Linked DNA regions of Arabidopsis thaliana. The protein of the gene in region 4 interacts with the protein of the main gene of each other region in a pairwise test. Each region holds a gene or a part of one and is shown on either strand. Other genes may lie near its edges.

Evidence for each region.
Region 1: the proteins of AT3G13672 (region 4) and CSLC6 interact in a two-hybrid assay, tested with the Arabidopsis thaliana proteins (one large-scale study listed by BioGRID).
Region 2: the proteins of AT3G13672 (region 4) and AT1G17970 interact in a two-hybrid assay, tested with the Arabidopsis thaliana proteins (one large-scale study listed by BioGRID).
Region 3: the proteins of AT3G13672 (region 4) and AT5G63370 interact in a two-hybrid assay, tested with the Arabidopsis thaliana proteins (one large-scale study listed by BioGRID).

Annotation. Positions count from the first base shown.
Region 1 is NC_003074.8:2,334,173-2,342,465, reverse strand, and holds CSLC6 (Cellulose-synthase-like C6), read left to right. Parts: upstream 1-3,297; 5' UTR 3,298-3,523; coding exon 3,524-4,225; intron 4,226-4,484; coding exon 4,485-4,793; intron 4,794-5,079; coding exon 5,080-5,370; intron 5,371-5,470; coding exon 5,471-5,584; intron 5,585-5,712; coding exon 5,713-6,345; 3' UTR 6,346-6,854; downstream 6,855-8,293. Other genes in the region: AT3G07340 (basic helix-loop-helix (bHLH) DNA-binding superfamily protein), read left to right, coding at 1-79, 206-271, 361-429, 555-626, 750-965, 1,057-1,138, 1,235-1,278. UniProt on the Arabidopsis thaliana protein: Probable beta-1,4-glucan synthase rather involved in the synthesis of the xyloglucan backbone than cellulose. Seems to work simultaneously with xyloglucan 6-xylosyltransferase.
Region 2 is NC_003070.9:6,181,569-6,189,184, forward strand, and holds AT1G17970 (RING/U-box superfamily protein), read left to right. Parts: upstream 1-3,148; 5' UTR 3,149-3,463; coding exon 3,464-4,036; intron 4,037-4,602; coding exon 4,603-4,767; coding exon of another isoform or gene 4,768-4,839; exon of another isoform or gene 4,840-5,091; coding exon 5,092-5,190; intron 5,191-5,275; coding exon 5,276-5,410; intron 5,411-5,499; coding exon 5,500-5,634; 3' UTR 5,635-5,905; downstream 5,906-7,616. Other genes in the region: AT1G17960 (Threonyl-tRNA synthetase), read right to left, coding at 1-29, 128-346, 439-531, 613-705, 801-887, 978-1,010, 1,254-1,348, 1,405-1,477 and 2 more; PAPS1 (poly(A) polymerase 1), read right to left, coding at 6,174-6,213, 6,312-6,379, 6,465-7,310, 7,401-7,565.
Region 3 is NC_003076.8:25,381,958-25,390,554, reverse strand, and holds AT5G63370 (Protein kinase superfamily protein), read left to right. Parts: upstream 1-3,293; 5' UTR 3,294-3,762; coding exon 3,763-5,601; 3' UTR 5,602-6,067; coding exon of another isoform or gene 6,068-6,252; 3' UTR 6,253-6,385; coding exon of another isoform or gene 6,386-6,515; 3' UTR 6,516-6,745; downstream 6,746-8,597. Other genes in the region: AT5G63390 (O-fucosyltransferase family protein), read left to right, coding at 1-43; AT5G63380 (AMP-dependent synthetase and ligase family protein), read left to right, coding at 529-1,584, 1,724-1,913, 2,280-2,425, 2,499-2,566, 2,640-2,742, 2,849-2,974; AT5G63375 (uncharacterized protein), read right to left, coding at 6,068-6,252, 6,386-6,515. UniProt on the Arabidopsis thaliana protein: Cyclin-dependent kinase involved in pre-mRNA splicing. Required for the correct splicing of the sixth intron of CALS5 pre-mRNA. May stabilize the binding of U1 snRNP to this rare type of intron with a GC 5'SS.
Region 4 is NC_003074.8:4,472,200-4,478,220, reverse strand, and holds AT3G13672 (TRAF-like superfamily protein), read left to right. Parts: upstream 1-3,856; 5' UTR 3,857-3,877; coding exon 3,878-3,976; intron 3,977-4,047; coding exon 4,048-4,680; downstream 4,681-6,021. Other genes in the region: AT3G13680 (F-box and associated interaction domains-containing protein), read left to right, coding at 1-687; AT3G13677 (uncharacterized protein), read right to left, coding at 1,129-1,419, 1,614-1,664, 1,752-1,925; AT3G13674 (uncharacterized protein), read left to right, coding at 2,340-2,497, 2,684-2,793, 3,192-3,211; AT3G13670 (Protein kinase family protein), read right to left, coding at 4,987-5,046, 5,145-5,333, 5,437-5,594, 5,704-5,794, 5,882-6,021. UniProt on the Arabidopsis thaliana protein: Probable inactive E3 ubiquitin-protein ligase that plays a role in regulation of autophagy. Upon starvation, involved in maintaining ATG6 homeostasis by competitively associating with ATG6, a component of the autophagosome complex.

The DNA.
Region 1 (8,293 bases), 2.1 Mb from region 4:
AATTGATCCTTACAAAGATTACATTCATGTTAGAGCTCGACGAGGCCAAGCCACCGATAGTCACAGTCTCGCCGAACGAGTCAGTCAATTTCCTATTTTCTTACCAAATTTATTGATTTTAATCTTAATGTTTAATTACGTCCTGATTAGTTGAATTAATCATGCTTTGTATTCAATGTGTTGTTGTGATTTCGATATTAAAAAGGTTCGAAGAGAGAAAATAAGCGAAAGAATGAAGCTGCTTCAAGATCTTGTCCCTGGATGCAACAAGGTGAGAGTTTGATTAAACAACTAATTAACTCGTTTTTAGTTGTACTAATATAGTTGTGATTAGAGCAATAACAAATTTACTTTTTAAAGGTTACTGGAAAAGCACTGATGTTGGATGAAATTATAAACTATGTCCAATCATTGCAACGACAAGTTGAGGTAATTACTCATTAGATTATTGGTCTACTTTAAACTCTTTCCATTATTTCATAATCACTTTTTAAAACAACTACACGACTTCGAATAATTTTTGTTTCTTAATTTTAATTTCAAATATGGTGCAGTTCTTGTCGATGAAGTTATCGTCAGTGAACACCAGGCTGGACTTTAACATGGACGCTCTCTTGTCTAAGGATGTAAGTCACCGTCACAACATTTATAGTAATTTTAATTGACAATTATTGTAATAATAATTACTTTTTTGTCTTTGTGAACCAATCGTGTGTTTGTTTAAACTAATTTCTTTTGTTTTCTGACAGATATTTCCTTCAAGCAACAATCTAATGCATCATCAACAAGTACTTCAATTAGATTCTTCAGCAGAAACGTTATTGGGTGATCATCACAACAAAAATTTGCAATTGAACCCTGATATTTCTTCTAATAACGTAATAAACCCTTTGGAAACTTCTGAAACTAGAAGCTTCATTTCTCACTTACCAACACTTGCTCATTTCACTGACTCTATTTCTCAGGTTTCCTTTTCTAAAACATTCTTCTATCACTTTTCTTTTCTTTTTCTCTTCAATTTGAAGCGGTCTTAACCCTTTTTGGTTTTGTTTTTAGTATTCAACATTTTCCGAAGATGATTTACATAGCATTATTCATATGGGTTTTGCGCAAAACCGTCTCCAAGAATTGAACCAAGGTAAGAATATTTAAATCATATTTTTTCTTTCCATTTCATTATATAGGCAGGACCGTTTAGATATGATATGTATAAATTGTACTATTATATATGCAGGTTCATCAAACCAAGTACCATCGCACATGAAAGCTGAACTTTGATCAACCACTATATGCATTTTTACAAAAATATTGGCGTTTTAAAGGTCTCGAGGATAGAAAGTAAGAAAAGGATTGATGGGTGTACATAACAAGAAATTTGAATTGGACCACACCATATGCGAATTCATTTCTATAATCATCTTCATATACATAACTTCTTCTTTTTATCCTTCCGATTCATTTGTGGTGCTCAATTGTATTGTCATGTTGTTATCCGCTATTCTTCTTCTTATCAGATTCTTTAAACTTTTCTTGTTTGGATTTAATATCATTGTATGTTTTAACCCCACTATAAGTACTATAGCTATAATTCTTCCGAACAACAAGACTGTTTTTATCAAACCCATTCAGTTCTTGTAACAAAAAAACATCAAACTCTTGAAAACGAAAAAATAATTCGGTTTTCTTATAAAGAGTTTGTATGTGATAAGAAGCTAACAAGGACAGATCATTCCTAGAAAATACACATTTTTGGTGAAGGAAAAACAACAGTGTGTTGCAAAAATTGATAGATACTAAGTAAATTTTCTTATTTCAATTATCAAAACTATATAGCTTCTGCATGTTAGGTGAGATTTTGTAGTTTATTTATGTGTATTATTTCCTTATTTATTTTTGGAAAAGGTATTTAATTATTTGTTAAAGCGTATGAAATGTTAGTATGCAGTTTTTGGTTGGAATACGATTTAACATTGAAACCAAAAAGTTGGTATTGAGTTTTTTTCGGCAGGAGTTACATAGCGTGACAACTATCTTTGTGCTAAATTACATGTGTGTAATTTGCTCAAATGTACTATTTCCAACAAATATAATAGGTACTACAGCATATTCACAAACATCAAATCTTAGCTAAGCTTGACTTTTTCAATATACACTCTCAAGTCTTAATAACTCGTTAACGTCAGTTTCAATGTTAGATCATATTTGATATATGATTTGATCGTTGCTAGTGTTAACCAGCTGTGTAAGGTGTTCTGTCATTTTCTCCATTGTCTTTGTGGGAGTTATTCAGAAAACAAAGATACATTAGAAAGTCTAATATGAGTGGTTATGAGCAAAAAACCAAATTTGATTAATTAGGATTATGATGTAGGGATCACGCCGTGATTGATGGAAACTATATAGAACAGAGAAGCGTCTCTTTCTATTTACCTACTATAGCAAAGAGAACCCGCAACAAGTTATCAATCAAGCAAAAATTAATGTCTAATCAAAAACCATCTATCTCAAGTTGTTGATAATATCTTACATGATCATAAACAATTATACCGCAGACCGGCCGGATACTCGAAAAATTGCAAATACATTGGTCCTGACGGGGTTGAGTGGATCACATACTTGAAAGAAAAAAAAATAGCCGTTTCACACTTATCTTCTTCTGCGTTGGTCGTTTAATCCTGCTTGAAAAAATATTCGTTAGAATGGGCCACACAATCAATACGCACTGTGAAAGCTAAATTTACGAATCTTAAATATGCTATGGGCTAGTTCTAAAACTTTTTAATCTGTAGAATTTTAGTGAGCTCTTTGTGTGGTGCTTTATTTGTCGGCCCAACTAAACACACGCTAACAATTCCTTTTTTTTTTTCTCTCACATTTTATTTTTTTAATAATAAAAAAAATAAATGTTACGGCATGGTTATATCATATATTTTAATTTCATGGAGGATATTAGATTGTTCCCATTTTCTATTCATCATATTAGATTAAATAATTAGAAAATACTATTTTTCTGTCTCTATTGTAGTGGTATGTATGATTGGAGAGTTGATGAAAATGTAAGCAAGTAAAATCATCGTGCAGATCGCGATGCTATGTTTATTATCATATATGCTTAAAGGATCATTTGAGATTAATACCGCAATCAGCGGGTGAGTAAGAAACTTAAAACACATAACTACTCTCTTTGTCAATGGAAGACCCTCTTAAGCATCTAACACATGATTCGTCTAGACAACCATTTAACTCTAATTATATCCCCTAATTGATATTAATTAAATCAAGAGGACAAAAAAAATTAAATCACTTATAAATATTAATTTTATAGATGTATATTTTAAAAAAGAGAAAAAAGAAAAGAAATGGGAGGAAGACACTGGGACGAAAGACGACGTCATCTATTGTTAGTAAGTTTAGCCCAATCGTGTTCTCTCTGCGCTTGTCTCCCAAATTCTCAGATCTAATCAGATCGACGATTCCTGATTTCATCAGCTTCGAGAGAGATCCTTCTTTTGTTCTTCGTTGAATGTCTCGCTCCCAGAACGAGGAGTTTCAACAATGGTGGAACAAGCAACGAGATAGGAACAATCACGACGTTCTTTACGCCGGCGACGATGAAGCATTCCTCACCGTTGAAATCCGTACTCCGGCCACCGTTGACCCTGATAAGGATCGGATCCGGACTCGTACCGTTCGTCAGCTCTCTCGTCTCTACCTCCTCAAGTTCAAGCAACTCGCATCTTCCTTCCTCTGGATCGGTAACTCTTTCCTTTACCTTGTTCGCACCGCCAATCGCCGCATTGCCAACGATAATCCTCCATCCGTGTCTTCCTCCGCTAGATTGTACCGTTTAATCAAGGGATTTCTCGTTGTTGTTGTGCTTCTTCTCTGTTTCGAGCTTGCCGCTTATTTCAAGGGATGGCACTTCACACCTCCCTCTGTTGCCTCCGCCGAGGTCGCTGTGGAGGTGGTTTACGCTTGGTGGTTGGAGATCAGGGCGTCTTACCTTGCGCCACCGCTTCAGAGCTTGACCAATGTATGTATAGTTCTCTTCTTGATTCAATCGGTTGACCGTCTGGTGCTTGTGCTTGGATGCTTCTGGATCAAGCTCCGCCGTATTAAGCCTGTTGCATCTATGGAGTACCCGACTAAATTGGTTGGAGAGGGAGTTAGATTGGAAGATTATCCAATGGTGATTGTTCAGATTCCTATGTGCAATGAAAAGGAGGTAAGAACATGTATGTAGGTCTCTAATCCGTAGTTGTATCTAGCTGTTTGAAGTTGAATTGGGAATCAAGCATCTCTAGGTAGGATTTGTTGCTATGTTGACCCGTAATCTCTAAGTGTTTCTTATGCGGTTTCATATCTGAAACTTATTGATAGTTTTAAATATGTTTACTTTGATCTGCCTGCTTATTCGTATTTAAATCCTTGCAGTTCCGGTTCTGTTATCTCATCTCGTTGATTTTGGTTTGTGGCACTTGCAGGTTTACCAACAATCTATAGGAGCTGTGTGTATGCTTGACTGGCCAAGGGAAAGAATGCTAGTTCAGGTTCTTGATGACTCCAGTGAATTGGATGTTCAGCAGCTTATAAAAGCGGAAGTACAAAAATGGCAACAAAGGGGTGTTCGGATAGTGTATAGACATCGTCTCATACGTACTGGTTACAAGGCTGGAAACCTTAAAGCTGCAATGAACTGTGAATATGTCAAAGACTACGAGTTTGTCGCCATATTTGATGCAGATTTCCAGCCACCTGCGGATTTCTTGAAGAAAACTGTGCCTCATTTTAAGGTAAACAATCATGTCTTTTTGTCTCATGTTCATAGGAGAATGTTAGGTGACCAGTTGGCTTTAGAAAGTGGTTATACCCTGAGCTTAATGGTATTCGGTTAGAAGTTGGCAGTGGGAAAAATGACATATATGGCATAGCGTGTCTTCCACTACATATGTGTGTCTTGATTGCAGTGGTTCTAATGTTCTATGATGAAAATCTGATGAAAACCACATACTGAGAACAGTGATACAATATGCTTGCCACACTAGCCTATCTCACCCGACAGTTTCTGTGTTTTTTCAGGGTAATGAAGAATTAGCCTTGGTCCAAACACGGTGGGCTTTTGTGAACAAAGACGAAAACTTGCTTACAAGACTCCAGAACATAAATTTGTCTTTCCACTTTGAAGTTGAACAGCAGGTCAATGGTGTTTTTATTAACTTCTTTGGCTTTAATGGAACTGCTGGTGTTTGGAGAATCAAAGCCCTCGAGGATTGCGGGGGATGGTTGGAGCGAACAACTGTTGAGGACATGGATATTGCCGTTCGTGCGCATCTTTGTGGATGGAAGTTCATTTATCTGAATGATGTTAAGGTACTTATGTTAACTAAATTGCTCAGAAGTTTCCTGTTATTTACCAGATGTTAGAAAACAGAACTTTTTGATATCATCCAGCTGTATTTTCCTTCCTCAGTGTCTCTGTGAACTTCCGGAGTCCTATGAGGCATATAAAAAACAGCAATACCGCTGGCATTCGGGTCCAATGCAACTGTTCCGTTTGTGCTTCTTTGACATTCTTCGGTCAAAGGTGAAATTGAGAATTATATTGAGACTGTTTTCCTCTTGCTCTTCCTTGAGAATATTTTATGTTTATGAAGTTTTCATATTGATAGCTCGGTCTGATCTTAATCTGGCATTTTTTTTTCTCTACTACAGGTGAGTGCTGCCAAGAAAGCAAATATGATATTTCTCTTCTTCTTGCTACGGAAGCTTATCTTGCCATTCTACTCATTCACGCTCTTCTGCGTCATTCTTCCATTAACGATGTTCTTCCCAGAGGCTAACTTACCATCTTGGGTTGTTTGCTATATCCCTGGGATCATGTCCATCTTAAACATCATCCCAGCCCCAAGATCCTTCCCTTTCATAGTTCCGTATCTCCTTTTCGAAAACACCATGTCAGTTACCAAATTTGGAGCCATGATCTCTGGTTTGTTCAAGTTTGATAGTTCTTACGAGTGGGTAGTCACCAAAAAGCTAGGGAGATCCTCTGAGGCGGATCTGGTTGCATACGCAGAGTCCGGCTCTTTGGTTGAGTCCACAACCATCCAACGATCATCCTCTGATTCAGGTCTGACCGAGCTTAGCAAACTAGGAGCAGCAAAGAAAGCTGGCAAAACCAAAAGAAACCGTCTGTACAGAACGGAAATCGCACTCGCGTTTATCCTCTTGGCAGCCTCGGTGAGAAGCTTGTTGTCTGCGCAAGGGATCCATTTCTACTTCCTCTTGTTCCAAGGAATCACGTTCGTTATTGTCGGTCTAGATTTGATCGGGGAACAGGTCAGTTAGTTTATATAACCCTTTTTCTCAGTTTAAAACTACATTGAACCATACCACCAGAAGAACGAACAAGACCCAAAGATCAAGTCAGGAAGGAACGAACCAACTCACTCGCAGGTCTTTTCGTTACAGATAGATACATAAAAACAATTCATTTAAAGTTTCTGTCTTGGGAACATGATTTTATACTCTACTTGGGTTGGTTTAGATTCTTCCTTTTTTTACGGATAGTATTAGAGAATGGCAGAAACAACCGTCGGAGAGGATTCCAAAGACTTGCCTACCTGTCTTTGTTGTGGTATTAAGCCAAACCTTGGTTTTTTTGTTGTGCAAAAATTGTTGTTAGGTTGTTGGTTTTTTGTTTCGGATGATGTGGCAGAAACATATTTTAAGCTTTGCTCTAATGCCACTCTCAAATTCTTTGTTGTTGTTGTTTCTCTCCTAAGGGTTCATTTATTTATATACACACTTCTGAATTGAAATGTACCATTTCTTTTTTAAATCTGTTGTCTTCATCTTTTAGTATTTGTTATGCTAATTTTGGGCCTCTTCTATCTTAAGTTATAAGGACCAGAATCTGTTTGACAATCTCTTGTATGATTTAAGGCCCAATTTCCCTCAGCTCTCTTAGATCAAGCACAAATGATTCGAGTTTTGTGATTGAATTTATACGAGGAACTTTTTTTCCATAAAAAGTCAAAACACAGATGTTAAAAATTGTCCGACTGCAAAATGTATAATGTACAAACATATGACATATGTTTCGACCTAACAAGTCTATTGCATGTATTCCTGCCTCGGAGGGCGTAAACCCAGATAAATCATTGCAGGCTTGAAAGAAAATCGTTGATAAAAAACACTGTTGAAAACAACTTATCAAACAATTTACATTGAAGACGATATGCTAAATTAAATATTTCCTGACAGATATAAACCCAGACCTAATATTAATGTACTCCAGCAGAGAAAATATCTAACAAAGTGGAAATCTCAGAGACAAAGAAAAAAGGATAAAAGGATAAAAGGAAGAAGAAAGAGAGAGCTTGTCCGAGAAGGACTAATAATGGCGTTTTTTTTGTTTCCGAATAATTATGGAAATCTTCTCTCAGATATTCATATCTCTATCCGACTCGTACATGGTACACGTATCTATACCCGCAGAAATCGAAACTATCATACCTATAAATTTTAGATTATTCCGGTTGAATATAGGTTGGTCGGTTTACCGGACCAGAAATTTATGATTTTTTAATCATTATTATAAGAAAAATGGGATCTAGAGCATAATGTCACGTCACATCATTAAAGCATGAGAACGTTACTTTTTCGTTTTTCTCAACGCTCATTAAAGCTTTTTTAGTTTCTTTATTACAAGACGACCGTTGAGATTTGTTCAGAATTAAGACACCAATAAACAGTCTTGTACTACTTAACTTACATAACCTTTTCATCACATAAATCTCTTCGTGCCAACTCGTTTAGAGCCCCGACAATCACACTTTTAATACTTTTTCTAAGAATCAACGTTTATAGTACTACAATGAACAGTCAACGAGAGTTTCCTGAGAATCTGTCAATATTTTGTTCCGTTCATTAACAACGAGAGTTGAACTAAAAAAATCCATAGAGAACAATTCTTCATTTATCCACCTACTTCATTTCCCACGAAGCATAAGGGTCCATAAATAATCTCAACGACATGTTAATTATTAGACCATGAAAATTTCTTTAATTATTAACCTTTGTAGACAAAATGTGAGAAATGTTTTTAGCAATAGTTTATATCATTTAAGATTTAAAATTATATTTAACACCAAAAACAGAAAGAATATTTTTCACTAAAACATAATTTATTTTAAAACAACCTTTAAGAATTGGCTAGAAACAGAGTTTTTCAATTAATATAACCATTCAGACTAACCAAAAAAAAAAAAAAGAGAAGACGTCGTAGTAATCG
Region 2 (7,616 bases), on a different chromosome or scaffold from region 4:
TACCCGACTTCATTAATCTGTTTTTGTACCTGTTTGAATGTACGTGCAAAGGAAACAAAAAGCTTAGAGATTAGGCACTGCAAGAATTGCAGGTGTGAGGGTTCATAAATAAAGAATGTAAGAAAACCTGTTTGGCATAGGAACTACAATCCTCTGAAAGAGAGCAAACTATGGCCTGGCGGGGACTAAGCCAGAAGGGCCAAATTCCTTTGTAATGTTCCAACAATATGGCAAACATACGCTCAATAGATCCCAACACCGCACTATGTATCATCACAGGTGCCTCCATTTCGTTTTTTTCACTTAGGTATTTCAGTTTGAAGCAAGCCGGAAGTTGAAAATCAAGCTGGTACGAAGCAAATAAGGATCAAAATCTTATTGTAAGAGATCAAGAACAAAAAACAGAGGAAAAAACTAAAAAGAGTTTGGGAGCCTAACCTGTATAGTAGCACACTGGAATTTCCTATTCCTGGCATCAGACACTGTTATGTCTATCTTTGGGCCATAAAATGCACCGTCTCCTTCCTTTATCTTCAGAAAACATCACACTTTAGAATCTCTCTATGAATTATAAAGTTTTGAGTAGAAGCATCAGAAAGTAGTGACACATACAACCCATGGCTTTCCAAAATCATCTAGAGCTTTTTCAAGATCATTTTCAGCTTTAGCCCATGTTTCCAAATCTCCAATGTGATCCTTTGGCCTCTGAAGTCGAAACCAACATGCAAACAATGAGATACGTGACCATACCATGCAAAGTATATTAGGTTTGGCAGAGAAGAAATGTGAAAATATCCTACCGTTGAAAGCGTTAGTTCATAGGTAAACCCAAATATTCTGTAAACATAGTCAATGAAATCCAACACACCCTTCACTTCTTCCTCAACCTGCAAATAGATAAGAATATTTCTATAAAATAAGAAACTGGGAGGATAAGGAGCTCCAACGTTGCTGCATAAGAAACAAATATCACAAACCTGATCCACTCTACAGAATATGTGTGCATCATCCTGAAAACAAGTATGCACAATGTTATTTAATTAAGCAACACGCGCACAAAAGGGTTAAAATCAAATTGACAAACTACTAAGTAAAGTAAAGTAAAGGGGTAACTTCTTCACTTCAACATGGCAAATAAGCTGCTTAACTAATCATGATATCATTTTGAATGTCGCTAGTCTTTATATAAAGCAATCAATTTTTAAGTTTTAAACATTTTACCACAAGAAAAGTCCAGAAAGATGCAAACATACCTGTACAAACCGTCGGACACGGGTCATTCCACCAAGTGCTCCACTGTCCTCATTTCGGTGTAACACTCCAAATTCGGCCATTCTAATGGGTAATTCTACATTCCATACCGCAAAACAAAAAAGATGTCAGCAAAAGATATATATGCAACACTTGCTTCGATGTTTGGAAAATGATTGTCGTTTAATCCCAGCTCGCCATAATAAAGTGAATCGTAATAGAAGCCCTGCAATAACAATTACCATCAGAGATAGCCCGTCTTTGCAACATTACAGATGAAATACCAAGAACCAAACAATATTGACTCCTCCTTTTTTTACTCTTTTAGCCAAAGAAACATAATTAAGGGGAAAAAACACAGAACAAAGCTCTTACTTCATCTCTGGGTTCGCAGGGTCCAATACATAGCTTGCATCCATACTCCTGCTCGAGAGCCTGGCCTAGAATGTGGGCGCTAGAATGCCAGAAAGTATTACGGCCTTGGTCGCTGTCAAATCCGAAAATCTCTAAGGAACAATCACCTTCCAGGGGCCTATTCATGTCCCACAAGACATGATTAACCGAAGAAACCAGAGCAGATTTTGCTAAACCCTTAGAAATCTGCACTGCGATGTCCATTGGAGAGGTCTCCCATCTCCTTCCTTCTTTCTCGATACCGTCGGGGAGAAGAGTAATCCTAAGCAGTGAAACAAAAACCAGAAATCAACTAATTGCAAAACCCTAGCTTAGCAAACAAATTGATGCACCCTAGTGAAAATGATGAACAATTAATCATAAACGTATTTACTTGATTGGATCGTGTGGCCGAGATTGAAGCTGCTCAAGCTGCTCGGCTTGGATTTCCTCGAAGAGCCTGATACGCTTGGGGATGACGGATGAGAGATAAGCCTCATCCTTGGGATGATGATTATTCGCCATCGATGGATGAGCAGAGAACGAAGGACAAATAGAAACTATAGAATATAGAAGATGACGTTGAGAGCAGAGGAGTAGATTATCCCAAGGTCAACTTCCCTTTTATAGCTACAACACTAAAGTGACTTGCGGGCCAAGCTTTAGAGCTTTTCCTTTCATTTTTTGTAATAAGGTAATAACAACAAGTGGCAGATGCACCTAACTTTACATAATTTCCTTTTGTATTTAAATAATTTTCTACAATATTTATAATTTCTTTTCAATTGAATTGTAGTTTTGTTGATAAAATGCAAATTAAAAGTATATGTATATAACCTATTTTGGCGTGACTTTCTTTGATTTAATGTTTCACATTTATATTTGTTGCATTCTCAATAATATCCAAATGACCATTATTAGGCCTATTAATGTGGAAGCTATAAAATCAGTTTGAAGTGGGCTTATTATTTGTAGTTTTGGGCTCTTAAAAGCCTATTAATGATGAAGCTAGAATCAGTTTTGCAACGTTCTCGGATGGTTTCGTGTTACAAAAATGTAGTCGGGTTCGATTTGGTTGAACCGGGTCTGGTAGACAATAATGTAATATTGGAAAGGAAAACGGTTCAGGCTTCGTGGCGATGAGCATCAACCATCAAGGCTTTGCTGGATGTCTTCAAAGCTCAAGAGTGCCAACTTTATGTATACGAGGATTGTTCAAATATTAAAACCAACCAAAGAAGTGGTCTTTTGATGTTTAAGCTTATCGTAGGATGTTTCAGCTGGACTTTGTGTCTCTTCTTTATCTCTACCAAAATAATATCTAATCACTCTCTCTCTTTTTATTTATTTAACAAGATTGTTTCGACTTAAAAGAGTCATGTAGTGACTGACACCTTTCCTATTTTTACAAGCAAGCATCATTTTAAAAATTTTAAAATTTACTTTTCTGGAATAGAAAAACCAAAAATAAGCAAAATCATTAAACTAAATTGCCCAAAAAAAGTTAAAAACCCAGAGAAATACTCAAATTAACCTAAACAATATCTCTTATAAAATCATTATTTCTAATTTGGTAGTATTCACAAAAGATATGCATGAGCTGATTTTGTTTGGAATCTCATACTAATGGTTGCATGTAAAAACAAAAACTAAAAAATCTTTAATAGTATTATATAGGAAAAGCTATAATCATTATACAAAAACTGTATCATCATCATCATCAAGCTTGAAATCACTCTCTTTCATCCTTCCCCGCGCACTGTGTCTCGCTCTCTCTCTCCCACATTTCCATTATCTCCTTTACTTTCTTTCTTTGAGAATGTCTTCTACAACAATCGGCGAGCACATCAGACTCCGACGAGCTAGAAACCAAACAATCCGTCATCTCCACGCCGCCGACGATGATCCGCCGCTAAGCCACGTCGTTCTTCCGATTTCACAACCTAATCGCTTCTGTAACTCCGCAATGTCTTCCTTCTTTCCCCTCCCGACTTCCTCCTCCAACGAAAGCACGAGGAAGAAACCGTACCAAACGTCGTCGTTTCGAGGGATGGGTTGCTATGCCGCAGCAGCAGCAGCAGCTCAAGAGGTTTCTGTTCCCTCCGTCATTCGCTACTCCGCGGATTTGGATGCCAGAATTAGAAAAGATAAGAAGAAGAAGAAGCATAAGCATAAGAAAAAGAAAAAGAAGAATAAAGGAAGCTACGAAGATGGTTCGATTAGGATTTTAAGCGAAGAAGCTAGAGACGTTATTGATGTTTGGTGCAGACCTGGATTAGGCTTCTCCACGGATGCTGTAATTGGTCGATCGGTTGATCCTCCTCGGGGAAGGAATATTCCGTCGTCTCGTCGCAAAATTGATGTGGATAACAACAATTATAATCACACACTGGTAAATTGATCTAAAGTTGGATGATGAATTTAGTGTTATTATGTTATTGACTTTGACTTTGAGGAAATGGTATCGTTTAGGCAGAAACTGTGTGGAGTGGTTGGAGCTCTAGTGGTTGTAGTTAGCTCTATGCCAATTGCTGGGCCATTGTTAGTTTGGTTTGGTTTATTAATATATGTGTTTGGATTCTCGTTTAGACAAATCATAAGGGTCTACTTTAGATGTAGCGGTTCTCTATTATTAGTTTTTGTTTCATGTGAGGATAATATAGAAAATTTCTTTGTTTGACGTGCGGGTGGTTCTTTTGGGTTTGATGCTCAATAAACTAATCGAACTCTGGTTTGGTTAGAGAATGGAATCTTATCATGCTTTTGTCTCGTTTAGCTAGAGGATGGAATCTTAGCATTGTTTAAGTTTCTTTTTGGTTGGATTCAATTGGTTAGGGGAGTTGTTGGATTTATTTTGATCAAAGAAACGCATTGCTTCAGAGGACTTGAAAATTAGGAATCTATCATCATGTCTAAGTGTTTGAGAAATGATAACACAATGCTACAAATGTTCTGCAGGGTTCTTCTGTTCTTCCCATTCGGTTTCTCAATCAAGAAACTCATTCTCATGATATCTTCAACTCTGATTCTACTTTTGTGACATCATCACGCGCTGAACCAACGATGTTGTCAAGTAGATGTCGTGGCCATCTTCCACGCTCTTACCCTGATGATCTTACCGAGGTAGAATGTTCTTGCCAAATAGTTGCCTTGTCTTTCTTGCATCTGGTAAATGTTATAGATTTGACTTCTTAGTTTATTAACTGATCACACTCAACACTATGTTAAGGTTTGACTTGTCACTTGGCTTCATATCAACTAAGAGATTATTCTAGAGTTGTCTCTTACATATTCTAGTGACTGATAGAGTGGAAGACAAATAATGTAATCGTTCTCTTTGGTGCTGTATGGTGCTGTAAAACTGTTTTGGATGGCTAATAGCAAGTGAGCAAGTTAAAGAACTAAACCATGCAGCTAGTGTAGTCATGTTCCTGCTGTTCACTGCAGATGAGGATGCTCCAGAATGGTTTTGTAATGGGAAGAATAACAGATTCCCGTGATAACTACCACGAATTGAGGCTCGATGTTGATAGCATGTCATACGAGGTATGTTTTTCAAAATCTCATGAGAAAAACACTTGCAATCTCATCTTCTCAACTTTATCGAGTGTGTTTGCTTTGGTCTACGCAGCAACTTCTTGAGCTTGGTGATAGAATTGGTTATGTGAATACTGGACTAAAAGAAAGCGAGATACATCGTTGTCTTGGGAAAATCAAACCATCCGTATCACATACTCTTGTTGATAGAAAATGTAGCATCTGTCAGGTAAACTCCAGATTGAGTCAATGGCTTCTCGAAACTTCAGACAGATCATGAGTTTCATAATGCTATTCCTTATTGTTTGATGGTGACAGGATGAGTATGAGAGAGAGGATGAGGTTGGGGAATTGAACTGTGGACACAGCTTTCATGTCCATTGCGTGAAACAATGGCTTTCGAGGAAGAATGCTTGTCCGGTCTGTAAGAAGGCAGCATATGGCAAGCCTTAAAAGACTTTTGTATCTCGTCGGGTTTCTGATAGCTCAAGATCTTTCAAGCCACCTTGCTGTATAGAGATCTGTATCATCTGATACTTGATTCATATTTGTTGTTTTTGCATTTAGCAATCACAATTTTTTTTTTTTAAGATCTTATATTCTTTGTTGGGTCTATTTATGTGATTGAAATCAAGAGTTTGAAATCTATGTTTTCTGTTGCCTAGGTAGATTTAAGACAGGTAGAGAGTAATTTAGCATATAGCATACACGCACGTAACTAAGAATCAATGTTTTAACGTTTGAGTCTGCATTTATATATATATGTGAAGTAAACTCAACCCAGACTTTTATTTATGACAGAAAAAGTGTTTGGGATCCATAGACAAGAACACATTACATTAATCTTATCCAAACGAGTTTTACATGAGATCATGCAACATCTAAGAAAAGCATATAAATATAAGACATAAAGTAACAAGAACCCCTCAACTTAACATCTCGAATTTCCGTAAGTGCTCTGAGATTCTTGGCAATGTAGGGAAAAGCCATTATTACTTGCCATTGGTTTTGCCTAGAGACGTGAAGCTCAATCTGCGAATAATCAGACAAACAAAAACAAACAATCTTTGTCAAAATCCAAAAATGTATATTCAAACGTTAAGAGTAAACATAGACACAAAATCACTTACTTGATTATCGGTTTTCGCTGTTGTACTGAAGGTCTATGTGCCGCATCGGGCTGTCGCGTGGGAAGAACCTTTCAACAAAAGAGAAATCAGACAGGAGGAATAAGATCAAGAGAACAATTTATGTATCGAAAATTGATAAGAAAAATAAGAAACCTCAAGTTCTTCCACTGCTTCATAAGGGAAAGGAGAGCCATTTGAAGTAGCTTCGAATGGAGGTATAGTTGCAGTAGCAGACAGGACTGCAACTTTATGAGATATCTGCTCAATCACTTGGTTTCCAAAATCAAAACTTTCTTCAAGCTCCTCAGTTTCATGAGCTTGAGGAGTGGCTATCTTTTCTATCGGAAGACTCTCTGGTGGATCCTTACTGAAAGCAACAACATTTTCTGGTGGATCCTTACTAATAGGCTCAGATTTACCGTTTGTACAATAATCTTTCATAGGACTTGAACAAATTGATCCAACAGATGGATTTGGACTCCCGCCTTCACAATTCTCTACAGGCACTGAAACAGCAATGTGTTTAGAGTTCCTTGGCTGATCGGTGAGTGTTTCACTATCTCCCCATTTTCTCTTCTTCCCATCAACTGGACTGTTAGAACCAGCTTTACTTTCAGAACTCATTTCGGTAGTAGTGGTAGTAGCAGCTGGTGCACTTGATGTAGAAGAATTTCTGTGCTCTGAACGGCGATTGCTGTCCCATGTTCCTTTAGAGGTATGTGAAGGTCTAACTCCACCAGGAAACACAAAATTAGGTAAGCTTCTCCGTTTTATATGGCCAACACTAATCTCCATCCCTGGAATCCACAATGTGTAAGCGTTGACAGTGTGTTTAAACTCCTCAACGGTTCTTCTGATATCGAATTGCTCGCCTTCTGCTGCTGGAACTCCTTGTTTACGTTGCAGACCCATGAAGTAAGAGCAATGGAGTGGCCGGGATGTGTCTTGAAAATCATGGGGATGAGGGTGGCAATGAAGCATTTTAAAATGTCTCTCGATCTAAGATTACAATGCAAACATCCAAGACAAATCATTAGCAAAGCAAAATCAAGAGAAACTATTCAAGTTAAAGTAAACATGGCTTTTCACCTTCAGTGTGAGCTGGCGGAGGCGTGACTCAACCCAGCCTTTCCATTTTCTTAGATCATCGACATTTGCAGCAGAAATGTCTATCTGTAGATAGTTTTTATACGCTTCAAAGAATGCAAATGGCTCAAAAAGGGTATCCCAGTCAGCTTTGTTTGATTCCATAGCCTGCAAGACATCAAGCCGTTGTAATAAGTCCATGAATCTGCATAGAAGCCA
Region 3 (8,597 bases), on a different chromosome or scaffold from region 4:
TATGTGTCGACATAGAAAACACAGGTCTGTAGGTTTCTTCTAGGTCAGGCTCATTGCTTCTCAAGGCAGCGATTGTCACAAACGCTGGTCTATTGGTATAGCTCGGTTGCCTTGCTCCTCAAAGCAATACTAGTCCAGCTGCAACCAATCGGCGTTAGACACGTGTACATATAAATCTACTGTAAATGTACAGATTCCTTTCCATGTTTTGCGTACAAAATTTCATCATTCGTACAAATCACTGAGCTCTAACTAATAAGAATGAGACACGTGTAAAAAGATTTATGGCCCACAGATCTTTGACGAAAGAACGTTGATACTTGACAGCCTTTTTAGTTATTTTGTTTAGTAGTTTTGTAAACAAAAAACAATATAATAAAATCGATTTGCCGTTAAAAAAAAAAAAAAAACATTGATTGGTTTAGGGATTGCCACGTATGCATTAATTTATGTGAGTTCATATCTTCTCGCAGGCGCGCATGTTCACCGCCGACGAAAAGATTACTGTATCTCTAATCGTCTTCCAGAATGCTGACGAAAACCAACGACAGCCGTTTGATTGACCGGAGCTCCGGCTTCGATCAACGGACAGGAATCTATCACAGTCTTCGTCCCTCTCTTTCTCTACCTCCTATAGATCAACCTCTCTCCGCCGCCGAATTCGCGCTTTCTCTCCTACTCAAATCCTCACCACCTGCCACCGCCGGGAAAAACATTGAAGCCTTAACCTACCTAGTTAACTCGAGCTCTGGTGATAACCTCACTTATGGAGAGCTTCTTCGTAGAGTTCGTTCTCTTGCTGTATCTCTCCGGGAGCGATTTCCTTCTCTTGCCTCCAGAAATGTCGCTTTTATCCTCTCTCCTTCTTCGTTGGACATACCAGTGCTTTACTTAGCTTTGATGTCGATCGGTGTTGTTGTTTCACCGGCGAACCCAATCGGATCTGAATCGGAGGTGAGTCATCAAGTCGAAGTCAGTGAACCAGTAATTGCGTTCGCGACATCGCAGACGGTTAAGAAGCTTCAATCCTCTTCTTTGCCTCTCGGAACTGTTCTGATGGACTCGACTGAGTTTCTCTCCTGGTTAAATCGATCGGATTCTTCATCGGTTAATCCATTTCAGGTTCAGGTCAACCAATCGGACCCTGCCGCTATCCTCTTTTCCTCTGGAACAACCGGGCGGGTCAAAGGCGTTTTGCTCACTCACCGTAACCTAATCGCCTCGACCGCCGTATCTCACCAACGGACTCTCCAAGATCCGGTTAATTACGATCGCGTTGGACTGTTCTCGCTTCCGCTCTTCCACGTGTTTGGTTTCATGATGATGATTCGAGCCATCTCGCTTGGAGAGACATTGGTGCTTTTAGGGAGATTTGAACTCGAGGCGATGTTTAAGGCGGTGGAGAAATATAAGGTTACTGGTATGCCTGTATCTCCTCCGTTGATTGTAGCGTTGGTCAAATCGGAGCTCACGAAGAAGTACGATCTCCGGTCGTTGCGTTCCCTTGGCTGCGGAGGAGCTCCACTCGGCAAAGACATCGCAGAGAGGTTTAAGCAGAAATTCCCAGATGTAGATATTGTACAGGTAATAACTGATAAGACAGTTAGTGTCAAAATATGACTTTGTATATAGGACTGTGTCCAGTTTCATGATACTTGGTTTTCATCAAGATTTTGAATCATTTATATGACTTTTAACTTTCTGGTTTGGTGATGGCTTACAGGGCTATGGCTTGACAGAGAGCTCGGGACCAGCTGCCTCAACGTTTGGACCTGAAGAGATGGTAAAATATGGCTCAGTTGGTCGTATCTCTGAGAATATGGAAGCCAAAATTGTTGATCCATCCACCGGAGAATCCTTGCCACCGGGAAAAACTGGTGAACTCTGGCTCCGAGGACCAGTCATCATGAAAGGTATCATAAAACATATGCAATAGTTGAGGAACATGCAATGTGCTGAGCTGGTGTAAACTAAATGACTTTGCATATAAGAATCTAGGACTGTCAAATTATATCAAGACTTTGACCATTAATGTGACTTTGCATATAAGAATCTAGGACTGTGTCAAATTAAATCGAGACTTGTGACTTTGCATAGAAGAATCTAGGACTGTGTAACAAATGCAATAGTTTGAGGAACATTCAAGAGCTTTCACTAAATGACTTAGCATATAAGAAGAAATCTAGGACTCAGTCGGATTTCATGATCCTTGAAGTCTAATGTCTTCATCAAGATTTTGATCATTGATGTGACTATAAACCTGTGATTAATGGGCACAGGTTATGTGGGAAACGAGAAAGCGAGTGCGGAGACAGTAGACAAAGAAGGGTGGTTAAAGACTGGTGATCTCTGTTATTTTGATTCGGAAGATTTTCTATATATTGTTGATCGGCTAAAGGAGCTAATCAAATACAAGGCTTATCAGGTAAATTTTACGAGTCAGAAGAAGAAGATATAGTCTTTAGAGTTTAATATTAATCAAAAGCGTCATCTTATAGGTTCCACCGGTAGAGTTGGAGCAGATTCTTCACTCGAATCCAGATGTGATTGATGCTGCAGTTGTTCCGTGAGTCTTTTAAACTCAAATTTGTAACTTCTTGAAATGTGTTTCTGATACTGACATGGATCATGAATTCAAGGTTCCCTGACGAGGATGCAGGAGAGATTCCAATGGCTTTCATAGTGAGAAAACCAGGAAGCAATCTCAACGAAGCGCAAATCATTGATTTCGTAGCTAAACAAGTAATGCTCATTGCTCTAGAATGTTGGTTATATTAATTTTTAGTACAAGTAGACAGAACAATTAGATTTGATGTTTTGGTTTGCTTATGTAACTATTTGTGTGTAGGTTACTCCGTACAAGAAGGTAAGACGAGTTGCTTTTATAAATGCAATCCCAAAAAATCCTGCTGGCAAGATTCTGCGTCGGGAGCTTACTAAAATCGCTGTGGATGGCAATGCATCAAAACTTTGAGATAACCGGCTGGTTCATATATTATTGTGTCGGTTTTCAGTGAAAATGGGATCTAATTACCGGTTCAGACGAAATGTAGCTTACATTCTTACTACACAAGATTTAATGTAATATTGACCGTTCGATTAACAACGTGAGTATTATTATTTATAGCATCGTCATTCGTCACCGTCACCGTCCAAACAATAAACGACTAGTTTCGTGTTCATTAATTAGATCCAACGGCTGTAATACGTAGCTCACGTTCTTTTGGTACACCCGCAAACATTAGATAAATCTGTGAAATAGAAAAGGGAATTATTGGAGCAGCCGACCTATTACGATTATAAAACAAAGGGTAAAGTAATAATAGAGCCACTTGACAAAATTGAAAAACGCGTCTCCGAGAGGAAAATTTAGAGAAAAGCTTCTCGCGATCGCATCGGGCTCGTAGATCGATCTCCTCCTCCATCCAATCTTCCGTTTTCGTATTCACCGTCCGGTAAGACCTTCCGGTACTTGTGAATCGGAGAAGAGGAAGGAGAAAAATTATCGCGTTCCTGGAAATTGAATTTCTAGGGTTTCGTTTTTTTCTGAATTATTCTGATTCTGATTTCGTCAAGGGTGTTTTTCTTAATTGGTTGATTGATCGTCTTTCTAGTTCAATTGTTGAAAAGTAATTGAACATCTATTGAAATCTGCTTCTCGTGATTTGATTCTGGGTTTCGTTGATTGGTTTTTTTCGAGGGGTTTGTTTGTTTTATCCTTTTTTATTTCTATAAGATCAATTTCTCATTGAGAAGAATACGATGGCAGCAGGGGGTGTTGATGTTTCCAGAAGTTCCGTTGCTGTCAAAAAAGACTACGACTTTTACAGGAATGGTTCTCGTGATGTGTATGTTCGACAGAGTGGTAGAGATGACGAGAGGCGTCAAATCAAAAGGCCTAGTGACCATGATCTCAGGAGGAATGATGGGCGTCACCGATCACGGTTGGCATATGAGAAAGGGGAACTACGGGAGGAAGCAGAGGTTCAGAGACCCTCTGAGAAAAGGAGGAAGTTTTCACCCATCGTGTGGAATGCAGAAAAAGTGGGTAGAGCTCCATCTAGGGAGAAGACCAAGTCTCCTTTCCCTGTTCCGACTACAACTGTGATATCCAATCAGGCTGTTGCTGGTAAGACTACTTCAAACGATCAAGTGAATGCCTTGATGTCGCCAGAACCTAGTTATCTTGCTCCAGTGCAGCCTTCAGAAGCCCTGCTGGCTGTGAAACATCCTGTTGATGATTTGGAGGAGGGTCAGTTGGAGGAAGAACAGGTGATGCAGGAGGATGTAAAGGAGGGTCTGTTGGAGGAAGAACAAGTGATGCAGGAACCAAATATAAAGACATCTAGGTGGGGGACAGGTTTGACTTCCCCAAAGGAGGAGTTAATATCTGTTAACGTTTCCAAGACTAATAGATGGAACAGGAGCAGTTTGACACCGGAGTGCGAGGAAGTAATGGTGTCTGAAGAACAGCAGTGCTATTCGTCTGGATCTGGCAGTGGACATCTCAGCGTAGAGAAGCTTAGTGCAGATGGAAATTCTGGTCGTGAGTATTATAGTTCTGATCATGATGAGTTAGAACATGAAGATCAAGATTCTTTAACTCCGGGAGAGATGAACATGATGTTTGGGAGCAGGTCTGTGAATGAATTTCAGAAGCTAAACAAGATAAATGAAGGAACATATGGAATTGTTTACAAAGCAAGGGATGAGAAAACAAAAGAGATTGTTGCGCTCAAAAAGATCAAGATGAAGGAAGATAGGTTCGAAGAAGAGTATGGATTCCCTTTGACATCATTGAGGGAAATTAACATACTTTTGTCATGCAATCACCCTGCGATTGTGAACGTGAAGGAGGTTGTGGTTGGAGGGAAAAACGATAATGATGTTTATATGGTCATGGAACACTTAGAACACGACCTGAGGGGAGTAATGGATAGAAGGAAGGAACCTTTTAGCACTAGCGAAGTCAAGTGCTTGATGATGCAGCTGTTGGATGGTTTGAAATACCTCCACACAAATTGGATTATCCACAGGGATCTGAAGCCATCTAATCTTCTGATGAACAATTGTGGGGAGTTAAAAATATGTGATTTTGGGATGGCGCGCCAGTATGGGAGCCCTATCAAGCCTTACACCCAGATGGTTATTACCCAGTGGTACAGGCCACCTGAACTTCTTCTAGGAGCAAAAGAGTACTCTACAGCAGTTGATATGTGGTCAGTGGGTTGCATTATGGCTGAACTGTTGTCTCAAAAGCCTTTGTTCCCGGGTAAGAGTGAGCTTGACCAACTTCAGAAGATCTTTGCGGTCCTTGGAACACCAAACGAAGCAATATGGCCTGGGTTCTCATCATTTCCGAATGCTAAAGCCAAGTTTCCTACACAGCCTTACAATATGTTACGTAAGAAGTTTCCAGCTATTTCATTTGTAGGTGGTCAAATTCTTTCTGAACGTGGATTTGATTTGCTGAACAGTCTACTAACTTTGGACCCTGAGAAACGTCTAACAGTGGAAGATGCTCTCAACCATGGTTGGTTCCATGAAGTCCCGTTACCAAAATCCAAAGATTTCATGCCGACATATCCTCCAAAGCGGTAACTGAGAAAAAACGTGCTATCATTTGGACGAGAGGATGTCAACAAATACACAGGGAAGTCGACTGGTCGTATTTTGGTATTTTCCTTTTTACTCAAAAGACTTGCTTTCATCTATTCTTAACTCAGTTGCGTTGCTTTGTTGCCTGGAGATTCAGGGCATTCTAGTGTACCATTTATTCGGATTCATGTGTAAATATGAGTGGTCCGTAAAACTGAAAGGTGTGTTTCTCTCTTTTCGTTAGGACCCTAATGTTATTGCTATCAAGAGTTGTACACACTATTGACTCACATGCTTTAATGGAAGAGATCTCAGTATTCACTTTCTCTCTCTAGTAATTGGGTTGGGATGGTTATTGTTTATGTCCTCATATTTCTTCTGTGCATTGTTTTTATTCACGAGGTAAACGCAAAGAGTTTATCACAAACGTGAGAATGGAAGTTGACATCAGTAAGTTTATTTTGATTACTTATTTACCACGCTCTGTTATCAATGTTGGTTTGTTGTTCGACGTCCCTTTGTCTTTGAGGTGCTCGTATTTGGTCTGTTGGCAGTGAGAAAAAGATGATTCATGATGAGTTTCTGTGGACATAGGAGGTATGGCAGTGGTTTTTTTCATGTTAATCCGAGAATTAAGGGATTTGGGATAAAAAGCTATATAGAAAGAAGCTAAAATAAGTTTGTCTTCAACACTATAACCCTTTGTCCTCCTTTCTTTTTAACTTCTGTAAACAGCTAAGCTAAATCAAGTTCATTTCAATAACGAATAAACTAGAATCAGCATTACCTTTGACGAGGCCATAAACAGAAAGGATATTACACAACACACAACAGTGATCAATATGAGGAAAAGCTTCTTTTGCGAGATGATCTGCATCGTTTCGGTCCTTAGTCTTTTGCTCCCAGCTCCTTACCATATGTCATTGTGCAGCTTCAGCTGTCTATTACCATTTAACAATCGGTAATGTTTCAACAATCACTTTTGTAAATTCCCTTTCCCATATTCCAAACTCCTGTAGAATCAAATCTCATATTGTAGTTGGAATTTTTCAAAACGAGGTTTCTAAATTAGTTTTCTCTATATCAGATAACCAACAATGATATTTTGTTCGAACCTTTGGTCGATTAAAGAGAACAGATAATGATTGCCACATCATCTGATTTCTCTAATGATACAGAATTTCATAAACAAATATATAGAAACGAAATACTGATTTATCAAGTTTAAAATTAACTAAAGAATGCCCTAGTCATGGGTCCTCCTTTCCAAAACTGTACAAGTGTCCCAGACAAAACGACCAGTTTAAAAGCCCTTATCGAGACATCACACATTACCTTTTTTAAACTTTACCGACTCTGACACCATCAGATCCACACGTGGCGAGAATTCATTTGGCCACTTTCCCCAATTAGGGTTCTTGGGCGTGGTTTTGATGGTGATTCAGTCTACCTTTTTCTCTCTGTCATCGAACCTCTCTATATTTAGTATTTCCTTATCTTCTTCAGCTGTCAGATTATAATTGGGTGAACATGTTCGATTTTATTGTTTAGTGTTGATAGGATTTAGTACTTGTCTTATATTTATAAAATAAATAGCCAAGGTTTGTCGATGGTGAGCATTTAAATTCGGGGTTCTTTTTTTTGTTGTTTGAATTAGTAACTAACGATGTTTTATCATTGGTTCCTTCATATCCAACGAAATGACAAAATATCACCTTTTTCTCAAATTTTGTAACTATTGATTCTTAAAAAAACATGGTACATCTGTTAAGTGTCTGTAATTTTTGATGTGTTTATGTATAGTTTTAATTTTTTTACATCAATGCATAAAGCGAAATGTTTTTGGTCATGTATATACAGTATGTGTTTTTCTTACAACAAATATATTACTGATGATATACGATTATATATATACGTATATAATATATGATTAAGAAATGATATGTTATATAGTCCGTAACGGATAAGATTGCTTTGTCCCATATGCATATTATATCATTAATGATATTTTTCATTTTTCGTTATTCATCCGTTATATTTTTCATTTTTCATTTGTCCCATATGCATATTATATCAGTAGTATGTTTCGATGGTGGTTTTATGTTGAAACTGTTGGCTATCGTATTATATAATTAATTAGGTATAGAATCAGCAGGTGAGGGTGAGAGCAAAGGTAGTCAATTTTATTCATTTGTTTAATATATACGTAGTAATCAATGTCTTTAAGCCAAATATAATTTGATCTGATCCAACCCAAAAAGATTGTATTTGTGCATCCTTCTTCTTTTAGTAACTATGACATGTTTTTGATAATTGCATTTACTATCTGTAGGGACGTCAAGTAGAACCACTAAAATCATCTATACTTTAATGATCAAGATTACATTGTTGAATTAAAACTTTAGCTACATCAACTCTATACGGTATATCGTGTTTTCCTTGCAACAAAATATGTAATAACGAAAAATGGAAGATGAGATATCGAATGTTAAAGAATCAAACCTAACTCTCAAGTCTCAACATCAGTCATCAGTTTCGTCCACATTCATGAATGTATAAATATATATGGACTAATTATTAAGCCTTGGTTAATTAAATAATGAGATTGTTTGTGTAAATTATAGTTGTAAGTTGATAAGCTAATTACATATCTCTACGTGTCCTCTTGCGTGCAACGTACAACGCAACACAAACCCATCAGATTTTTCTTGATGCCATCTCGAACTGCCTTCCGAATCTACTTTATTTCTATGTTACTATATTGGATTTTTAATAAGATTTTGACTCTCATGTCCATATATACTTTTTCCGAATCAATTGTATGATTATATTTAAGATGGCTCCATGATACCGTCACTCCCTCATGATTTTTATTTATACGCCATCCAATGTTCCTTCTTTCCCTTTCATAAAAGAGGTGGCCTAACTTCATTGGCACAAAATTCCTCTTTGGACATGAGATCATCGACCTTGTCCCGTTAATAAAGATTTGAGATCTA
Region 4 (6,021 bases):
TTTGGGTACGAAGTCTACGATTTTAGCTCTAATTCATGGAAGGTTCTTGATGTCATTCCTGAGTGGGATATACAGTCTCATTTTCGTGGCGCGTCTTTGAAAGGGAATGCTTATTTTCCTGCGCAAAAGAAAGAAACAGTGGGAGGAATAAAGACAATAAATATTGAAGATGTTCTACTTTGTTTCGATTTTACAAGGGAGAGATTTGGACCGCCTCTGCCACTGCCGTTTCACTCTTACAATGCAGACTTTTTTGTGTCTCTAGCTTGTGTTAGGGAAGAGCAGCTCGCTGTGTTATATCAACGCTGGGGGGCATTTGAGACAATCGAGATTTGTGTTACAAATAAGATTGATCCCAATACGGTTTCGTGGAGCAAGTTTTTGATAACGTCCACTGGTTTTCCGGTTGACACTTTTTCTGGGAGCTTTTTCATTGATGAGGAGAAGAAAGTTGCTGTGGTTTTTGATTTAGATAGATATAAACCGACTGAGACCTGTCGCTACCAAATAGTTTATATTATTGGACAAGATGAATACTTCAAATCTGTCAACATGGGAGTTGCCCCAAATATCGCGAAGAACTCGTACCAAGCTTACTGTGTTCCACTTGTGTGCTCTTCTTCCTATGTTCCAAGCTTAGTTCAACTACAAATCAACAAACCGGGCAAAAGGAAAGAAAGTAACTAGTTCCATTTACACTACTTTTTATATTTTTCTTGCATCATCTTCTTTTGTTTCATTCCATTGACTTTGATGTTCTTTTGAACGATCATTAACTTGTGTTTTGCTATTTATCTGCTTATAAAGAAGTGGGGGGTTTTGTGATACAATCAGCTCGGCCTTTAACTAAAATCATACTAGTTGTTTAGATGTAGGAGTCCATATGGAAATAGATAGATAAGTTAAGAGAATCATTTACTGCCTCTGTTTATAAAAAAACACTCGAGGTATTGGAAATGTTTCATTTGTTTGATGGTTTGGTGGTCTGATGCATCGTGTTCTGTGTTTTGGTTTCTTAAACTCTTGAATGAAATTAGGCATAAATTTTGAGTCTTCCCTCAGCTTTATCCTTGAACAACCTTTTTAACATCTTGAATTTACCCATTTGGAGTACACAAATGCAACCATTCACAAACCTTCTCCCACATTCGCGCCAAGGACAATTCCACCCATGCCACGCTTATAGCTTAGCTTGGATTGCTCCCATCTCTCGCACTTCAAAACATAGCTTCTTTGAATGCAAGACCAATATACAACTCCATTCCTAACGATTAATGGGCGTCTCACTTCTTCTCTGAATGTGCCATTTACTTCCAATTTGAGCGACTTGTGGGTTTTCATCATCCGAGTGTCACTATCGGGAAATATGTTACGGCCTAAAGGAAACTCATCCCACAAACTGTGGTATATTATTCTCAACTTCAAACTCAAACCGTTTCATTGCATCCTCATCCAATTGATCAATACAAAGGGAAAACTAAAACATACAATTAAAACCAATAAACACCAACTTCTTAAGAAACTAGCTTGTTGCCATGTCATTAATCAACAAGCAATCTCGAGTAAAAAGTTATATTACATTAGTTCCTTATACATCAAAATCTGGATTTTACAAGGAGAGCTGTGTGAATAGCAATTCCAACTCCTTCTCTTGAGACAATGTTCTCTGTCCAACAAAGAAACATAAGTTAGTTAGTTTCAAAGGTGTTTCATATAGAGTAGTAATGTGAAGAAGAAGAGGATTGACTTACTTGGACAGATAAAAGGTCGTTGATTTTGTTGAGAACCTTGAGACGATGAACTGCATAAACACTGTTTGATGGAAGTTTACAAACCCTTTTGATCTCTTCCTGAATCACACTCGATTTCTCATCACAATCCATCTCATTCCATCTTTCTCCCACACGATTACCTCTGCTTCCCATTTCGTAACTGATTCCTCAGCTGAAACTTCAATAAACAGACATATACAATGAAAACGGAATCAGTTATTACAAAGATAAAGGGCTCGAAAAATAACAACTTTGTGTTCGATCGAAAATAGAACAAAACAGAACAGTGGGAAGAAAGATTGAGTTTTTACATCAAGGGTTACGAATTCAGAGCTCGCAGTTTCCGATTTTGTCACACTCAAGAGAATTTGCGAAAAGAAGTGATCGAGAATTGTCTTCCAGCCCTAAATTCGACACCGGTCTTCTTATCAAATAATTTTGGCTTTTTCAGTTATTTACTTACCCGACCCGTAAACTAACCTGTAACCCGACCCGGGACCTAGCTCACTAAGAACCCTTTAAGCCCTAAAATCTCCGATCACATCTGAATTTTGCTTCTTCCTGGCAATGGCATCTTCAAGAGTGTTAGGCAGATTCTCGTCTCGATTAAAGTCTCTATGTCAAAATCTCAGCAACAAGAATGCCAATGTTTCATCACTCCCCTCTCCCATCAAATCTGCATCACCTTCCTCAGCAACTAGTTGTCGTCTCAATCGATCTTCAAGGTTTGTCTTTTGTATCATTTCACACTATCAAATGGAGAAGACAAAAACCTTCTTTTTTCCTCACTATCAATGGGTCTGCAACAATGTAGATTACTTGCTGATAATTTTGAAATCTGAATCAACAAAGTCAAAATCTTTCTAAGCAAAATTACAAATTTGATGAACTTGTTGGATGGTTGTTTTCAGATTACCAGTGGAGTTGAGCTCGATGATACCTCTGCACAGTGCTATAGCATCGTCCAGGCTCGTCTCAAGTTTGTCCGTTGAATCCAAAATCTGGGGATTAGTTCCTCAAGGTCAGTTTTTGTTTTGTTCTTGAGCACTGGAATTACCATTTGGGTTTACTTTACATAGGTGTATCAGCACACAACACATTCTGTTGTTTCTCTGTGTTGCAATTTGTATCCTTTGTACTGTGTATATGGCGATAAATGTGATGATGCATCAATTTGAATCCGATAGTTAGCTCTACGGATAAGGATGTACATAAGTTCCTTTGATAAACTTGACAGCAACAGAAGTATGTGATCATATAGCATCATCATTTGTAAATCTGATGAAGTTGAACCCTTTTATGTTTGTGTATGGATCTGAACTGATAAAATCACACATTACTTCTAAGTTTGGTTTTGATAGAGTTTCGTTGCTTAGTTAGTTCAATAGATTGACATGAATCTTTTCTTTGGAATTGCAGGTCTTTCATTGCCTTTATGACAGTTTTCTTTTCTCATCTTACAACAAGTTTCCAGGAGGATAGAGACATAAACGAAGCTCGGATTGTATCGTTCTTTTTAGCTTTTATTCACATCCGAAAGTCCTGTAGTTTAGATTCTGTTATCTTGCGGTTTTGAGTTAATCAGAAACAGAGTAATCAATGTAATGTTGCAGGCTAGATCTTTCATCTTTGGAAATTTATTTTTTTCTCATGCAATTTCTTTAGCTTGACCATGAGTGACTAAAAGATCAATCAGTAGCAATGATTTGATTTGGCTAAGAGACATTTGTCCACTTGGCATCTTGATTTGGATGGTTACAACTTGCAAGACCCAATTGGATACTTGCTATGACAACTCCAACTCAAGAGTGTCGTGTAACTAAGAACCTTGACTAATTTGTAATTTCAATCCCAAGTCATGTTACTATATGTTTTTTTGTTTGTATTATTTTCTCTCCTACAATTAAGCTCTTTGACGTACGTAATCTCCGGAACCAACTCCTATATCCACCATTTACTCCACGTTGTCTCCAATTATTGGACGTTGAAACTTGACACAACGTAAACGTATCTATGTGGTTGATTGTATGTACATATGTACAAACGTACACCTTTCTCCTCTTTCACTTCATCACTTGGCTTGTGAATTCATTAATTCCTGCGAAATGGAACCTCGAATCAATGACCTTCAGGTGGAATCTCGGGTTCATGAGTTGCTCGATTTTCCGGTTCATACAAACCAGATATCCTCTGCAATCTACGAGGTATGTATATCATATCATATTGATACTACTACAATAAGAACACAACAAGTAATATACAGATCCTATTGCAGTGTCCCAACGACCACATCGAAAACCCTAAGAAGAAACCGTACAATTGTCCACACTCAGGAGCCAAGTGTGATGTCACAGGAGATATTCAAAGGCTACTACTGCATCTAAGGAATGATCACAATGTTGAAATGAGTGATGGGCGTAGTTTCAGTCACAGATATGTTCATCATGATCCTAAACATCTTCATCATGCTACTTGGATGTTAACAGTAAGTTATATAACTGATTATCTTGCTCTGTTTCTGCAACTTTGTGAATTTTTAAGTTTTAACCCACTTGAAACGATGCAGCTTCTCGATTGTTGTGGTCGAAAATTCTGCTTGTACTTCGAAGCGTTTCACCTGAGGAAAACACCAATGTACATGGCCTTCATGCAGTTTATGGGAGATGAAGAAGAGGCAATGAGCTTCAGCTATAGTTTGCAGGTCGGAGGGAATGGCAGAAAGCTGACATGGCAAGGCGTGCCGAGGAGCATTCGTGACAGTCACAAGACGGTTCGTGATAGTCAAGATGGCTTAATCATCACTCGCAAATTGGCTTTGTTCTTCTCTACCGACAACAACACCACCGACAAGGAGCTGAAGTTGAAGGTTTCAGGTCGTGTATGGAGAGAACAGCCTGTTTCGATATGAATTCGATAATTAGGTTACAGAATTGGACAACTATAGAATATTTGGTGACAAAAATATCTTTTCTTGATTTAAAAATTAAATATAGCAATTTCGAGGGAAATGTGTAGGTAAACTGGTGATTATGGCTCAATCCCCTTCACAAGGGGGGAATAAACAACACAATCACCACATTTTTGCTTCACAATTCAACTGAAAAAAAAGAAGAAGCACAACAGAGCCTGAGAGGCCATAGGGTTGGATAAGGAATAGGAGCCGAGACTTAGAAACATATTTCTCTCGTCCTTCAACAGTTTTTACTAATAAGTCTCAAGATACAGTTCGGCCATAGCTTAACGATGCAAGGTAGAGATTCTTTCCCCATTTTTCCTGCACAACAGAAAATTGCATCTCCGGTATTGTTCATGGGAAGGGAGAAAAAGAGTTCAAGATATTGATTAGTAATCTTTTATAGCTGCTCTACTCACCTTGACGTGTGTGCTGGGGAATTGAGAGGTACGTAACGTCTCTTGTGTCTCATCAACAAGTCTACGACGTGGGATGCTTAGGATGAGAGCAGCTTGATCGGTTGTGGCTGCTGTTGATGTGATTCTGAATCCACCATCCCAACGCCTGTGGATGCCTTCACTTGGATACAGAAAATCAAGTTCCACAACCTGTAGAGGAGATATAAGCGAAAACAGGAGAATTAGAAATCAACGCGACAGATCCAAAACTGAAGGAAACGGAAGAAATTCATCTATATCGGTGAAGTCTAACCTGTTCACTGTAGCCAGAATTGCGGGACATAACAACACCCCATCGATTTCCAGCTGTTGCCATTGAGGTTACATGGAAGCCTTCTCTCCATTTCTTGTTTATCCACTTGAACGGGAATGAATCGCTTACTTTGTAAGACTGCTGTGTATACTGCGTACCTTCATAATTCATTTGAAAACCAAACATAGAATAAGCCACAAATTCAGAGACTAGTAAAATACCATAATGACGAAAGTGTTCAAAAGTATTCATGAAAAGTGTAGATACCTTTTGACATGACAACTAAGGAGCTTCCATTGCTTGCACCAGCAATAGAACTAATGTAGTAGTTCTTCTCCCACTGCTCCATAATCCATTCCTGATTCAAAACAGAATTCACTCTCAGGTAAGATCATCTTGACAGAACACAGATATAAAAATAACTAACAGAGAAACATCAGACAACCTTGTGCAAGAATACAGGAGAGAGTTCATAGACTTGGTGCGTGAAGCCAGTTCCAGCATCCATTATCAATGCCCAGAGATTCGAACATGATGATACACAGCTTATCAACAAACCATCTGCAATACCTCTCTCAATATGCT